2 linked regions of the Pelodiscus sinensis genome follow. The protein of the gene in region 1 purifies or fractionates together with the protein of each later gene. This does not show direct contact. Links are inferred from orthologs where the notes say so. Each region holds a gene or a part of one and is shown on either strand. Other genes may lie near its edges.

Region 1 (7,419 bases):
GAAGCCTTTTTAGAGTATGTCTACACAGCAGCATTATTTCAGAATATCTGACATTATTCTGAAATGACATAGTGCGCATCTCCACAACAAGCCTTTATTTCAAAATAATGTTGAGCCAAGTTCTTACTCTGACTCCTGGTAACCCTCATTTCACAAGGAGTAAGGGAAGTCGAAGGAATAATGTTCTTCCTTTGACTTCCTGCTGTTTAGACAGCATCAAAAGCAGAATTAAGCTATTTCGACTTAAGCTACACAATTGATCTAGCTGAAGTTGTGTAGCTTAATTTGACATTAGCCCTGCAGTGTAGATGTACCCATAAGGACCCTGCTAAAAGATCAAGGCAGAGCATAGATAATCTTGCAGGAAAATATTATTCCTGCAAGCGAAAGGCAGGATGGAAGCCAATGTAATTTCCACACTAATTCTGTTGATCATTTATTTTGGAAGAATCTAGTTAAGCCACAGAAATAGAATTTACTCACTGTAAACAATATTTCATTGTAAAAATATGGAAGGTCCTTTTGGAATTAAGACACCTTGTGTTCATCAAGGAAAATATACATAACACCTAAACTTTTTAAATTAGGTTTAAAACAAAAAAAAAAACCAACAAAGTAAGTCCTACTGACTGAAACTTAGTGGAATACCTGTTAGATACACGAGGAGTCTTCTAAGAGGTAGATGATGAAAGCTCATCTCAAAGACAGTGAGCATAGACTGTACAGTAGATTCTAGTAAAGATTAAATATACTAATGCCCAAAGTTGACAAGCAGGCGAGAAAAAGGTGAGTAAGGGAAAAGTAAAAGTAGTAATAAATTAGAATACATTATGCAGGAAAATTAGTAAAAGTGCAAATGGCTACAGTGGGACAATTCAGAGAAGCCAGTCAGTAGTGCGGCTGAGAGAGAAACCAGACTTCTGAACAGAATTCAGACAGATGAATGAACCCAATACAAATTTGTTAATTTCACTACGAGCGGGGGTGGGGGCAGGGTGGGTGAGGCTTGGTCAAGGGGACAGTTTAAGTGAGGAAGAGGCAGCATGGGGAGAAATATAGTTTAGAATGGGAGAGTTACAAAGGAGGAGAACGAAGCCAACAAGAGGAATTGACAAAAGCTAAACAAAACTAAGCCCAAATAAAACAATAAAACACACACACACACACACACACACACCTCAACACAAAAAAAGCAAAGGTTTCCAAGAAAGAGTAGGCTCCTGAAGTCTAGGGATTCTCAAACTTTATTGTACTGACCCTGTTCTGACAACAAATTATTTCATGGCCCTAAGAGGGCGGACTGAAGCCTGAGGCCACTTAAGACAAATTGCCTGGGTGCAGGGCCTCACTGCTCTGGGGAGCCAAAGCTAAAACTTAAGGGCTTCAGCCCCATGCAGGTCTTGCAATCTGAGTCCCACTGCCTTCGGGACTGGTCACCATATTGAAAGGGAGTCTGGATGCAGAGTTTGAGAGCCACTGGCTTTAGGTATTTATTGACCTTTCAGTACATGATCAGGAAGAGGGGACTGACACAAAGGTAACTTCCAAAATGACACTTAAACTTACAGGCTCAGTCAGTTCAACAGTTGTATTTTTTCCTTCTCCATCCGAAAGAATGAAAAGTTTCCCAGATGGGTGAATCTAGAAAGAGATTATTAAGTCCTTAATACATAACTTCAAACTATCAAAGCAAATTTCTTCTGAATTATAACTTGACTCTGAACTGCATGAGATACTTTTACTCTTCTCATGTATGTAAACTGAATTATTCCTTATCAGCCTAAATATTTAAGATAACATTCTTTATTTTTTCCAACTCCTTCCTATCTGTTAGAATGGCTACTTAAAAAAGCATCACTTGTTTTAGCTAATTGCAGGCTCTGTCTACATCAGTGGTCTCCAACCTTTTTAAGCATGAGATCACTTTTTTAATTTAAATGCAATTTAGGATCTACCTCAAACCCAAATACCCTTGTCTCTCCTTCTAGACCCCCACCTCTGCTCACTCTATCCTCCCTCCCCCATCCTTCCTCCCTTTCCCCAGGCAGAGGGTTGGGGGTGTAGGCTCTGGTCTTGGGTTAAGGGATTTGGAGTGTGAGAGGGGCTCTGAGCTAAGCCTGGGGCAGGGAGCTGAAGTGCAAGAGGGGGTTTATGACTGGGGCAGAGGTTCAGGATGCAGGCTCCAGCTGGACACTGATTACCAGAGTGGTGCTTTACACTCCTTTAACATGGCTATTCTCTAAAGACAGGTTTCACACAACACCATGGGTAAAAAATTGTGACAAAATTAAGCCTAGCACATTCAACCATAATGCTGAAAGCAAACAAGCCACAGGGAAAGACTCATTTGTGCAGATAGAGTGAGGAAAACAGTCTATCTATTTGGCTCTACTTGCCAGGTGCAAGGGATGAGACTGTGTAAATACTGTGGCATTAGGCAAATATAAACTCCCTGCAACTCATTTTTAAGGATTCATTGGATCCAAATGCGCTGGTGTCCCCGACCTATGATAGCATCAGCACCTGGCGGAGGCAGCGTAGACAGCCAGCAAGCACCCAATGCAGACCGCAGCAGACCCCAGGAGGCTGGAGCTGCCCTGGGCGGGGACACCGGGGTAGAAATGCGGAGCGGAGCTACTCTGGGCGCTGGGTCTGACACACCTCGGGCCAGGACCCTTGGTAGAGCCTGGCCCGGTGCTGCCGGGCTCCAGAGAGCAGCTCCCCAGCAAGGGCTGTGAGGGAACCCAAAGCCGCCCGCTGCGAGCCAGGGGAGCCGCGCAGCCCGGGGCCACATGCTGCTCTCCCGCGGCGGCCGATAGCCCCGCAGCTCCTGGACCTCGGCACCGCGCCCCGGGGACACCCAGGGAGGCAGCGGGCTCCAGACCGTCCGGCCTGGGGAGTGAGAGGAAGCAGCCAGCGGCGGGGACAGGACCTGGCCGGAGTCGGGGGTCCCGCTACCTTCTCCACGCGGCCCACGAAGCAGACGGGCTGCCCGAGATGCTGCGCTAAGTGGCTGGTGCCGATGCGCGGCCGCGGCCCCTCGTGCACGTCCCCCATGTGGAGCGGCGCCCTCACGCGCTCCTCGGATGGCCACGGCAGCGCCCCTAGAACGGCGGGAAAGCAGCACTTCCGGCCCCCGAGCCCCGCAGTCACCCTGGCAACATCGGCGGCTTCGAGGCGGGTCTTCCTCCCAGGCAGCCAATCGAACGGGACAAAATGCGGTACCGGTGCCCTGCTGACGCTGACGTAGTCAAACGGTGTTTCTTACTGCGTACGGAACCGAGGGCGCTGCCAGTGCACCGGCCTCACTGGGGAGTGGCGGCCGCTGGGAGAGCGATCCCGGTAGCGCGAGCGGCGGGGTCTGGCAGCGCCGAGGCTCGGTCGGGGAGAGCGGCTGCGCGGTGAGTGAGCGGCGCGGGCTGAGCCTCCCTGTCGCAGTCCCCGGCTCTGCGGGGGGGGCTCTGTATCTCCCCGCCCGGAGCGCTGACGGCGGGGCTGCCCCGTCCCTAACTTGCCCCTTCTGAGCGGAGCCCTGGCGCGGACAGGCCGTGAGCCCCTGTCGGTGGAGAAGGGCTGTGCGAGGCCGCTTGCTCCTTGGCTGCGCTTAGCGCTCATGCTTTAAGGTAAGGTGACTGCAGTCGCTCAGGGGTGTGAATAAGCCCGCGCCGGGCGGTGTGATTATGCCGGGATAAGCAGCCGCTATAACTCCACTTTTTTTGGGGAACGTATCTTGGACTTGCATCGAGGATGGGCTGTACCTCAGTTCCACTCTGGGTCATTCATGCTTAAATTTGACACTTTACCAATGGACCTTAACAAAGATGCTAACTACCTTACCCGTTACAAAGCTAGCGTTCCCAATTATCACCCCAATAGTCTCATACACTAACCTCCTCCCAACCCCCCCTTCTAAAATCTTATTTGTCAATTTTATATTTGTTCACTTTTTTTTAATTGTATCCCTTTGGTATATATGGTCATGCTAATTTTCTTCCACAATTTGATCTGAGGAAGTGGGTCTGGCCCACGAAAGCTCATCACCTAATAAACCATCTTGTTAGTCTTTAACGTGCTGCATAGCCCTGTCTTTTGTTTCTGGGTCACCTGTAACTCTTTCAAGGCTGGTAATCTTCTGGCCTCTGCTGTCTGTCCTCTGGAAGCAGCAATCAGCTCTAGGACCTGTTGGAGCCTCAGCCCAGCTGGCTTGTGGGTCCTAGTACTTCAGGGAGAATACCTAAGGAACCTGCAGCACATATCTACTCTTGTTGGAGCTAGAGCATGCCTAGCAGGAGTGAGGCAGTGTGGCTTCCTCAGCTGGCTAAGTGGTTAATCTTTCTGACCAGTGTGGAGTAGGTACACCCTGTCACAATATTCTTTGTTCTTAGTGTACTTAAACTTTCTGAGAGTCTTTGTGAAGGACCTTCACTAAAGACCAGAGCGGTGCCACTCAGAACGGTGTGGGGCAGCCACCTCAGGCTCCATGGTTTGGGGAGGTCCCGCAGTGCTTCCTCAACTGTCCTATGGATGTGGCCCAGGATATTACTGGAGGGGCCGTGCATGGGGTGGCAGCAGGGGTCCGGTCAAAATAAAATAATTGAAGCTGCAGTGGATGGGTCAAACAGGCTTCTGCTTCTGTGTATTGGGTTGGAAAGTGTGGGAGCTGCTAGGAGGGAGTACACATAGAAAGTCATAATTATCACTTTCAGGGATGATAACCCAAAACTTTTTGGGGGGTTCGGGGCTGCTGACTAGGGATGTTAAATTTAGTTTAATCAACTAGTTGATGGATTTTCCGTTGATTAGTCAATGAGCTGGGGAGCCGCAACGGGGTTAGCTCCTGGGGCTGAGAGCTAACCCTGCTGCGATTCTGCTTTTTAAATGTATTAAGAGTCTGCAAGCTCTTAATACATTTAAAAGGCTGAAACACAGTGTGTGTGGGGGGGGGGGGCGGGGGGAGGCAGGCATGCCAACTGATTCCTGGCTTGCACAGGGTCACCCTCTGCTGCACACCAGCCTTAAATGTAAAAAGGCTAGAGCACAGCAGGGGACCCAGTGTGAGCCGGAAATCAGCTGTCCTGACTTGTGCCAGGTCCTCCCAGCTGCACTACTGATTTTTAAATGTATTAAGAGCTGTCAGGGGCTCATTTAAAAAAGAGAGGCACAGCTCTGGGATTGGGTGCGAGCAGGGAATCAGTTGATTCCTGGCTTGCGCCCCTGCCTCTCCTGTTGTCCACGGAGATGGTGCTGGGGGGAACAGTCTTTTAAGCCGGCTCCCCCCAGCTCCAGCTCCCCCTACCTTGCTGCCTCTGATAGAGGAAGCAGAAAGGGGGGAAGCAACTAGTCGAGAGACTAGATGACTATCGGATAAGCAAGAGATTATCAGGTAGTCGACTAGTCACTTATATCTCTACCACTGACCCATAGAAAAATCAGTTGGGGAGGAACGCACGCAAATGAGAAGCAAAAACAAAACAGTAAACCAAGTCCTCCCTGACGTGGCCCCTCAATTGAGGAGAAAAACACTCCCCTCGTGCACCAGAGCCATGCTAATAAATTTTGTGTGCTCCAACCCTGCAGTAGGAAAGCAGAGCTGAGGGGCTGGAGTGCCAACATGGGCTCCCCAATGCTGAGGGGGAGGGACCATTAGCCCCATGGGTCGTATCCAAGCAAGCCCATGGCTGCATCCAGCTCCTGGGCCTCAGGTTCCCCACCCATACAATATGTAATAAAGTAAATAAAAATACTGTCTAGTCAGTAACATTTCTCTTAGAACTGCATTTACCAAACTATGGGCCATGGCCCAGTACCGGGCCGCGGGGGAAAAAAAATACCAGGCCTCAGTGTAGCTGCCAGGAGGGGAGCAGGGCAGGGTGGGCTGGGAGGAGGTAGGGGTGTGTGTGTGTGGGGGGGGGGGGAAACCTGCTGCCGGGAAGCAGGGTTGGGACAGCAGGGCTGTCCAGCGGAGGTCAGGGCAGGCGGGCGGCCGGATGGTGGAAGCAGGGTTTGGGGCAGCAGGGCTGTCTGGCGGAGATCAGGGCAGGCGGGTGGCCAGCGGAAGCAGGGTTGGGGGCAGTGGGGCTGTCCCGCGGTGATGGGGGGTGGGCAGCGGAACCAGGGCTTGCCGGGGGGAAGGGGGGAGATGGCTGGGGGAGATCGGGAGAACCAGCCACCAGAAGCAGGGCTGGACAGGGCCAGTGGGGCTGGTTGGGGGGGGGGGGGGGGAACCGGCCTCCGGAAGCAGGGCTGGACGGGGGAGATAGAGAGAAGATGAGGCGTTGGGGAGCAAATTGGCCGGCGGGAAGTGGGACTGACCCGGGCACATGAGTGTGTCCAGCCCCAGTAATTCCGATTTGCCCCCACCCCGCCCACATACCCTCCCTCAAGTAGTTGCGAACTGCCTGGCTGGTAGACACACTCACGCAGCGTGAGCACATCTACCAGCCAGGCAGTTCGCAGCTATGGACTGATATACCTAATAATAATAAAACTTACCTAATTAGAAAATACCAGACATTTTATATGTCTGGTATTTTCTCAATTTGGTTCCCAGACAGAACCCTCAAATACCGAGCTGTCTGGTACAAAACTGGACATCTGGCAACCCTACCCCTCCTTGCACCCTCCCTCCTAAGCAGATACCTTCCCACCAATCTGCTTCTGCTCCCGCCTCCTGGCGTGCCCATGTGGCGCCGGGTCCCCTAAACCCTGGCCCAGGCTGGGCGGAGGATACAATTGGGTGAAACACTGAACATTTATTCATTTTTAATTCTTTTTTTATATGCGTTTATATTTTTGGACTGCAAAAAACAGTACAGGCAGTCCCCGGGTTACGTACAAGATAGGGACTGTAGGTTTGTTCTTAAGTTGAATTTGTATGTAAGTCGGAACTGGTACATATTGTAGGGGGAAACTCTAGCCAAACATTTCTCCAGAGCTCAGTTTTATTCTCCCACACCTCACTTCTCTCAGTTCTTTATTCTCAAGCTGAGGTGTCTGCTGAGAAGAGCCGCTCCACGTCTCCCTGGTCTGCTGGTGGGGGGGGGGGGGGCGCTAGCTTTGCGTCTCCCTGGTCTGCTGGGGGGAAGCAGCTAGTGCGGGGGTTGCCTCACCCCGTTTGTAAGTAGGGATCCGATGTAAGTCGGATCCATGTAACCCGGGGACTGCCTGTACTGAAAAAAAAAACAAGTTCCAACTAAAGTAAAACGTTTGGGGGAAACTGATCTAGCCAGCTATCTATCCATCTTATGGTCCGTTTGTCCAATCTGTATTCCCTTAACTTGCTGGCAAGAATATTGTGGGTGACCGTATCAAAAGCTTTGCTAACACTGGCACTGGGGGCTTTAGGAGGACCAGAAACAACTTATTTGAATATTCATCATTTGCTTAATGAATATGCAAACAAATGTTACCAGTCCTCCA
Region 2 (7,110 bases), on another chromosome or scaffold:
TTTTTTAACTATCATAACAAATAGATCTGTGATACCATCTAGTCTAGTTGCCAGTCTGATAGTGGCCAATCCCATACACACTTAAATGGAAGTTGTAAAAAATATTGTAACAAACAACTGTACTGTCATCTGCCTAAATGGGAGCTTTCTTCCTGAACCAGACAAACTGGTGGTTGTCTTCTGACTGACTAGGGACGAATCAGTTCCTGTTAATGGTTAAACTCCCACACAGCCAGGAGCCCTTGGGGCCAGGGTGCCCATTAAACATGTAACTGATGGAACTGTCATCAGCTACACAGTATTTTTTAACCCTTTTTATACCCCTGGGTAGAATGTAGTCATTTATAACACTTGCGAAAATATATTATTCCTATCTAATGTAAATGTATATGTATCTATTATTCATAGGAAATGTTCAATTCTATTTTGAAATCTACTAAGCATTACACTTGTGAAACCCCTTGTCAGGCCAAGACTTTAACAGAGGTTAAAAAAGGACTACATACATTCATGCAGGATAGATCATGTCTATTAGCTAGAATGGCAGGGATGCTGTCCCTGGCCTTTTTTTGTCAGGGCTAGGAATGGGTGATGGGATGGATCACCTGATGATTACCTTTTCCATTCATCCCCTCTAGAGCACTGAAAGACAGGAAACTGGGCTAGATGTACTACTGGGTCTGACCAAGATGTCCATTCTTACGTACCGTAATTACGTTTTCAGTTCTACAAATTAACTAGGGGTTGTATAAGGAAATTCTTTCTTACCAGTTTTAAATTTGTTGCACAGCTCCTTGTTCTTGAGTTATGAGGGTAAAGAGATGTACCAAATTCACCTTTTCTATACAATTTATTATTTTGTATCCTTATCTTCCCTCTCACTAGCGGTCTCTGAGCTAAAACAGTGAATCTTTTCAATCTCTCCTAATTCAGAAATCTTTCCATGCCTCTATTCATTTTTATCACTTGCCTCTGAACTCCCCGCCCACTTTGTTATATCCTTTTGAGACAGAGTTGCATTCTGATTATGCTTTCTACTCACATTAATTACCCTAATGTTAACAATATCCCATTACATACTTTGATTCTGAGCCTATAATGAGCTTCATGTAGGTAGTGCCCTGTACAAAAGTGACAATCTTTTTTCCCCAGGTATCAGACAATCGCAAAAATAGTTTGGAAGCTCAAGAATGGCAGCTTATCTTAAAAATACACCCTACAGACAGCAATATAAGTTATATCAAGGGTGCCTGAGGATGTAAACACAATAAATAAATAGGCATTTGCCTGAACAGAGCTCCTTACATAATCAGGACCTTACCAGAATTTGCTTATATATTTCATAGGATTGTTTCCATGACAGTATCAGAATCTTCCCCGCCCCCCGCAGTACATGGAAAACTAAGTTTTTTTATCCTATAAGAAAAGGATGTTACAAGAAGATTGGGATGCAGAAACAGAAGTAACTTCTGCTATAACTTAAATCCAACCTAGAAAATAGTTCTAAGACTAGAGAACTGTGTTTGCTCAGTTTTATTAGCCAAATTTGATTTAGGAAACATATTTCTCCTTTTCCACTTCTCATTGCCACACAAGACATAAACCCCAGCCTAAATGCTCTTCAGAAAGCAGAAATACTGACTACTATGGAAGACTATGTTATTATAGACAACATTCCAGAGTACCATATTAAAACAGACAACATTCCAGAGTACCATATTAAAACATACAAGTAAAAATGTTCCCCTGACTGTAAAGACCAATTGGAATTTTGACTACAGAGAAATTACTCAAACATTTATCAGTTGCTTGTGAGAAACCACTGAAAATAACATTTAAACCAAGAACAAGTTGTAAGGAAAGAGCCACAGACTTGAGCAGTCCCATAGCACAGCAACATTCAAATCCAAGCCCAGAATAGCATGCAGCTGAGGAAAACAAACTGACCTTGATTTCCTTGGTTTTCTTCTTCCTATTGGATGTATCTTCTCCATTTTTGGTTTTCTCTGACTTTTTCACTGTCTCACCTTCACGTTTCTTGCCAGTAGATACAACCTCAAAGAATTTTCTGATATCCTAATAAAACGGGGGGAGGGGAGAGAGGGTTAAAAAGGCAACATACAATACTTCAACCTTTCCCTCCACAAAAGAGCAAGATAATTTTTTTTTTAAAAGCAAATTACTCTCTCAGCAACTCTTCTGCTATTCACTGATCTAGAAGTTCGTTTTAATACCTGAAGAACTGAATGTATTCCTGTTTATAGGACTTGCAGATGCAGAGCAACCTTTGTTCAGTTGAGGCACCCATGGCAGCAGCTTTCCTTTCCACTACCGATCATTTCAAGCGCCCACTTTTCCCTTAGTGGAATACCTCTGCCAGCCATTATATTGCAATGTATAACAAAGAGTCACATCATTAACAGGACAGAGGATTAACAAACAGTTGCAAGTAGCACCAAAATATTCAGTAAACTCTGACAAGTATAACCCAGAGTCTTTTATAGATCAAATGAATAACCTACCTATCTGTAGGATAGAACCTAACAGATGAAACTCCTCAGCAAAACTCATGAATAACTTCAGGATATTGAACAATAGCACCCTCCACCTTTTCACAATCTGGGAGAAATTGGTCATTTCACCATGGCTTTAGCATTAGCAAAGTGTTTGGTATAGCTCTCCAGCAAGCAAGTATCTGATCATTTTTCTCAAGTTCAACAATGTTAATCAACCCACAGATCTCAAAGGGATAACATACTGACGATATTTCCTACCACTATAAGAACCAAAAAAGTGTTCTACCTGCAGAAATAAAAGGTTTGAACCTTAGGAATATCTTGTATGAGCACATAGCTTTCTTAAAAACATAGACCCAGCATCTTTTAAAAGCCCTTAGTATTACTATTTACTTTAAAAAAGAATCATCTAGTTTGTTATACCTGTTTAACATCATTAACTCCAGGTATTGCATCCATTGTAATGGCAACCATTATAGGAGCAGCATAGAATCATTTGGTCTGAATTTATAGCAGGTGGAGGGTGTGGCCTTTGACTATATTCTACCCAGGTAACACCACTGTCTAATTTACCCCCTCTAGAGTTCACCTTAGTTTCCAATGAGTACTAAGACCAATAGTATTTTCTTATGAACTGTGAGTAATGTTAGTTTTGATTTTTAAGTATTGGTCATGCTGTTAATATTTCTGCATATTTTCACAAGCTTGTAGAGCCACTAAGACTTATTCTAGATAAGTTTGATATGAAAGTATACTACTTTGGCTCCTTTGTGAGGAGGAGTCAGAAGACAAAATAGAACATGTGATTTGTTAAGTAAGAATTAGCCTTTTTTTTTTTCTGATAAAGCCTGTAATTTATTTCTCAGGGTTTGAATGGTAGTCTTGTTTTAGAAGTTTTACTTTAATGAAAACTTAAACTTGTTAGATTTCAATTACAATTAAGATGTTGACTCTTTAAGAAGATGTTTTTGGACTGAAGTAAACGGGACTATTTCCATAAGGATCTCCTCATGTGTACCTCCATAAAGGGTTGAGACCTAAATAATTAGTACCACTCTATGGCTGTGTCTACATTGGCATGATCTTGCACAAAAGTGGCCGCTTTTGTGCCAAAACTTGCTGCCTGTCTACACTGGCCACTAGTTCTTGCGCAAGAACACTGACATCTTAATGTATGAAATCAGTGCTTCTTGCGCAAGAACTATGATGCTCCTGCTCAGGAATAAGCCCTCTTGCGCAACTGCTCTTGCGCAAGAGGCCAGTGTAGACAGGCAACATGAATTTCTTGCACAAGAAAGCCCTATGGTTAAAATGGCTATTAGAGCTTTCTTGCGCAAGAGAGCATCTACACTGGCACGGATGCTCTTGCGCAAAAGCACATCTCTTGCACAAAGGCATATGCCAGTGTAGACACTCTCTTCTGGAAGAGTTTTTGCACAAGAACTCTTCCGCAAAAGAATTCTTGTGCAAAATCATGCCAATGTAGACGTAGCCTATTAGTGGTACTTAGCTATCTTGCCACAAGGGTAATAATGGTAATTTACAAGTTATGAATTTTTACTGTAATTGGATAGTTCTAAAATCTAAAGGCATGCTGTCAACCTCAAACAATGACTGAAGTAGTTTCAAGCACTGCATCTTCCTCTGAATCACTATCACCAATTTTACAGTCTTGTTGATATGTGAAAAATCCACCTACACAAAAAACTTATTACAATGCTGCCTGGGACCTTTGGGTTCAGCCATAATATATTCACTTCTACTACAAACTAATTAGGAGGAAGACATTTCATTTTCACTTTTAAATATCAGTCCTCATAGGTGTGAGTTTAAGTTAGTTATATCCTTTTAGTTTAAATGTAAAGTTATGTTGGAATAGTTAATGACCTGTTAATGCAGTGGTCACCAACCAGTAGAACAGGATCTACTGGTAAATCTTGGAGCCTCTGACAGGTGATCCTGACTGGTTTGGCCAAGAGGCTATCAAGTGCGGGCACTTCAGCTGCCCCTCCCCCTACTGCTGTGCACCTCTTGCCCTTTGCCTTGGAGCTGCCTCCACCCACCCCTAGGAGCTTCCTGATTGCTGTGAAGTGCAGGGCAGGGGAGGGAGAGCAGGAGTGCTGATGTCAAGGTGCCCCCTCTCCCACTGTATATCCTATCTCCATAGAGCAGAAAGGGGACACAACATGACTAAGTTTGCTGACTGCTTTTGTGAGTGGTACAGGGCTAGGGCAGGGGTGAGCCTACCTTAGCCTCACTGCACCACCACCCAGGAGCCACCTGAGGTAAGCAGTGCCCAGTTGGAGCCCACATTCTGAAACACTAACCCAGTCATGAACCCCCTCATACACACAGGCCCCTGCCCTGGCCCCAAGCACCCCTGCATCCAAACACCGTCCCAGAGCCTACACCTAGAACCCCCTCTGGCATCCTATTGCCTGCCCCAAGCTCAGCTCAGAGCCCCTCTCACTCCAAATCCCTTGATCCAAGACCAGAGCCTGTACCCCAAGCCTCTGCCCCAGTATGGTGAAAGTGAGAGAGAATGGGGGAGGGATGGAGTGAGCAGGTGAAAGGCTTTGGAGAAGGGGGGGTCACACTGTGGTCAGGCAGGACCCCAGCACTGGCCAGACCACAGCAGCCCCAGAGCCATACCGCACCACCATGCCTGTCAGCTGTCCCAGTAAGTCCTTCCATCCTGTCTGCCCTGCCCCCAACAGTTAATTGGTTAAACAATACAATTTTCTTCATCTAACCAATTAACTATTTTGAGGGACATTTACATCCCTGACTCTAGTAATGCATTGATGCCAGTACAGAGGTGCCCTAAGCAAAGTCTACAAAAGACCTAAGCTACAATCCATTGGGGTCATCTTTAGTACATAAGTGTGGCTCAGTAATGCTAATGATTTTTAATAGACAAGAGAAAATGGATTATTTGTCTTGAATGGCTGGGTAAGTGTTCCTGTTTCCATTACTGGTGAACTCAAACAAGCATCTTCTATTCATCCATCAAGCACTGTGCATGCTAATACTACCACTTGTCTTTTGATAATAACCTTATGACTATACTATGCAGTATCTGTAGGCATGTAACTTCAAAATTTGTGTCTGTGTTAACACTATGTTCCATTCTCTTGCTGCAAATCATCTCGATCCCCATATCAAGGCAGAAGAAGCTTTCTTCAATTGTTTAAAATTAGTTTCTCAGCAAATTGCCAAAGCTTCAAGATAATAGCACATAAGCCATCTGAACACACTTTCTGAATAAAGTTAGATTTGAGTGCTTAATTTACCTTAAAGCTACTAAAATAAAAGACTGTACATGTCCTTCAAGTGTCTTCTGTTTACTATTTTCAGTATTGCTATATTATCCTGCAAACTCCTCAGACATCCCATTGTTTCCAGAGGGAAAAAATAATCTTGTTAAACAACTGGATTGTAGTAGGTGGTGCATCCAAAATTGTTAGACTAAAAAGGACATCACTATGTATGGATAAAGCTCTTACATTATATGAAGCACAAAATTACACTTTCTTCATGCCATATCTATCTGTGAATAGCAAAAAAAATAAAAAAAAATAGTCCTGGTCTATACTAGACCAGGCAGCTCAGTTTAAAGTAAACAACTCCAGCTACACAAAATGCATAGCTGGAGTCGGCTTACCTTAAGCCGAGCCATGGTGGCTAAGGATGTTAAGGACTAGCTGACTATCTGATAAAAGAAAATGCTTATCGGCCAGTCAGTCAACTAGTCGATTCCGCCCCCACCTTGCTGCCTCTATCAAACAGAGGCGGTAAGGGGGCGGGGAAGAGAAGCGGTATTTCAAAGTGGCAGCGCTGCACAGCTGAGCTAGGGATCAACTGTGCGGCACTGCTGTTTTGAAATCCCAAAACATTTCAAAGGGGCAGTAGCCCCACAACTCAGCTGTGCGGCGTTGCCCCTTTAAAATGCCACATGGATCCCGGGATCAGCTGGGGAGTCTCCAGCTGACCCCAGGCTCCACGGTGCTGTCCCTTTGAAACACCAATGCAGCCATTTTAAAGGGACAGCACCGCACAGCTGACCCAGGTTCTGGGGAAATGCTGCACAGAACCGGGGGTCAGCTGAGAAGATCCCAGCTGACCCCAGGCTCCATGGCGCTGCTCCTTTGAAACACGAAGGCAGCGTTTCAAAGGGGCAGCCGCCACACAGCTAAGCCCAGGATCAGCTTTGAGGCAGTTGCCCCTTTGAAACCAGCGGCATTTCAGCAGAACCCGGGGTCAGCTGGGGAGTCTTGTACATTTCAAAGCAGGCACACCCCAGTGCAGCCCAGAGTCAGCGGGACTTCCCACTGGCCCAGCCTGCATGCAAAGTTCCGCATTCCTCCTTTGAAATGTACAAGAGCCCCAGCTGGAGCTCTTGTACATTTCAAAGGACAAATGTGGAAGTGCCTATCTACTAGTTGAGTAGTCAATGGAAATTCCATGGACTAGTCAATTAACCACAATTCACCATCCTTAACGGTGGCATCCTCACACAGCGGGAGACCAACAGAAGCCAACGTTTCCATCGGCTTCCCTTACTCCTCACAGGAGGAGGCGTATTGGATACCTG

The links. Proteins that work in one complex are often made in the same cells at the same time.
Region 2: the proteins of RPA3 (region 1) and RFC1 purify together in Homo sapiens (affinity purification with mass spectrometry; 3 studies listed by BioGRID and IntAct, with this or other methods). This does not show direct contact. The link is inferred for Pelodiscus sinensis from reciprocal best matches to the Homo sapiens genes RPA3 and RFC1.

What each region holds. Positions count from the first base shown.
Region 1 is NC_134712.1:209,643,573-209,650,991, reverse strand, and holds the start of RPA3 (replication protein A 14 kDa subunit), read right to left. Parts: upstream 3,095-7,419; 5' UTR 3,058-3,094; coding exon 2,959-3,057; intron 1,642-2,958; coding exon 1,567-1,641; intron 1-1,566. UniProt on the Homo sapiens protein: As part of the heterotrimeric replication protein A complex (RPA/RP-A), binds and stabilizes single-stranded DNA intermediates that form during DNA replication or upon DNA stress.
Region 2 is NC_134715.1:93,048,013-93,055,122, reverse strand, and holds the start of RFC1 (replication factor C subunit 1), read right to left. Parts: upstream 3,006-7,110; 5' UTR 2,991-3,005; coding exon 2,940-2,990; intron 2,077-2,939; coding exon 1,948-2,076; intron 1-1,947. UniProt on the Homo sapiens protein: Subunit of the replication factor C (RFC) complex which acts during elongation of primed DNA templates by DNA polymerases delta and epsilon, and is necessary for ATP-dependent loading of proliferating cell nuclear antigen (PCNA) onto primed DNA.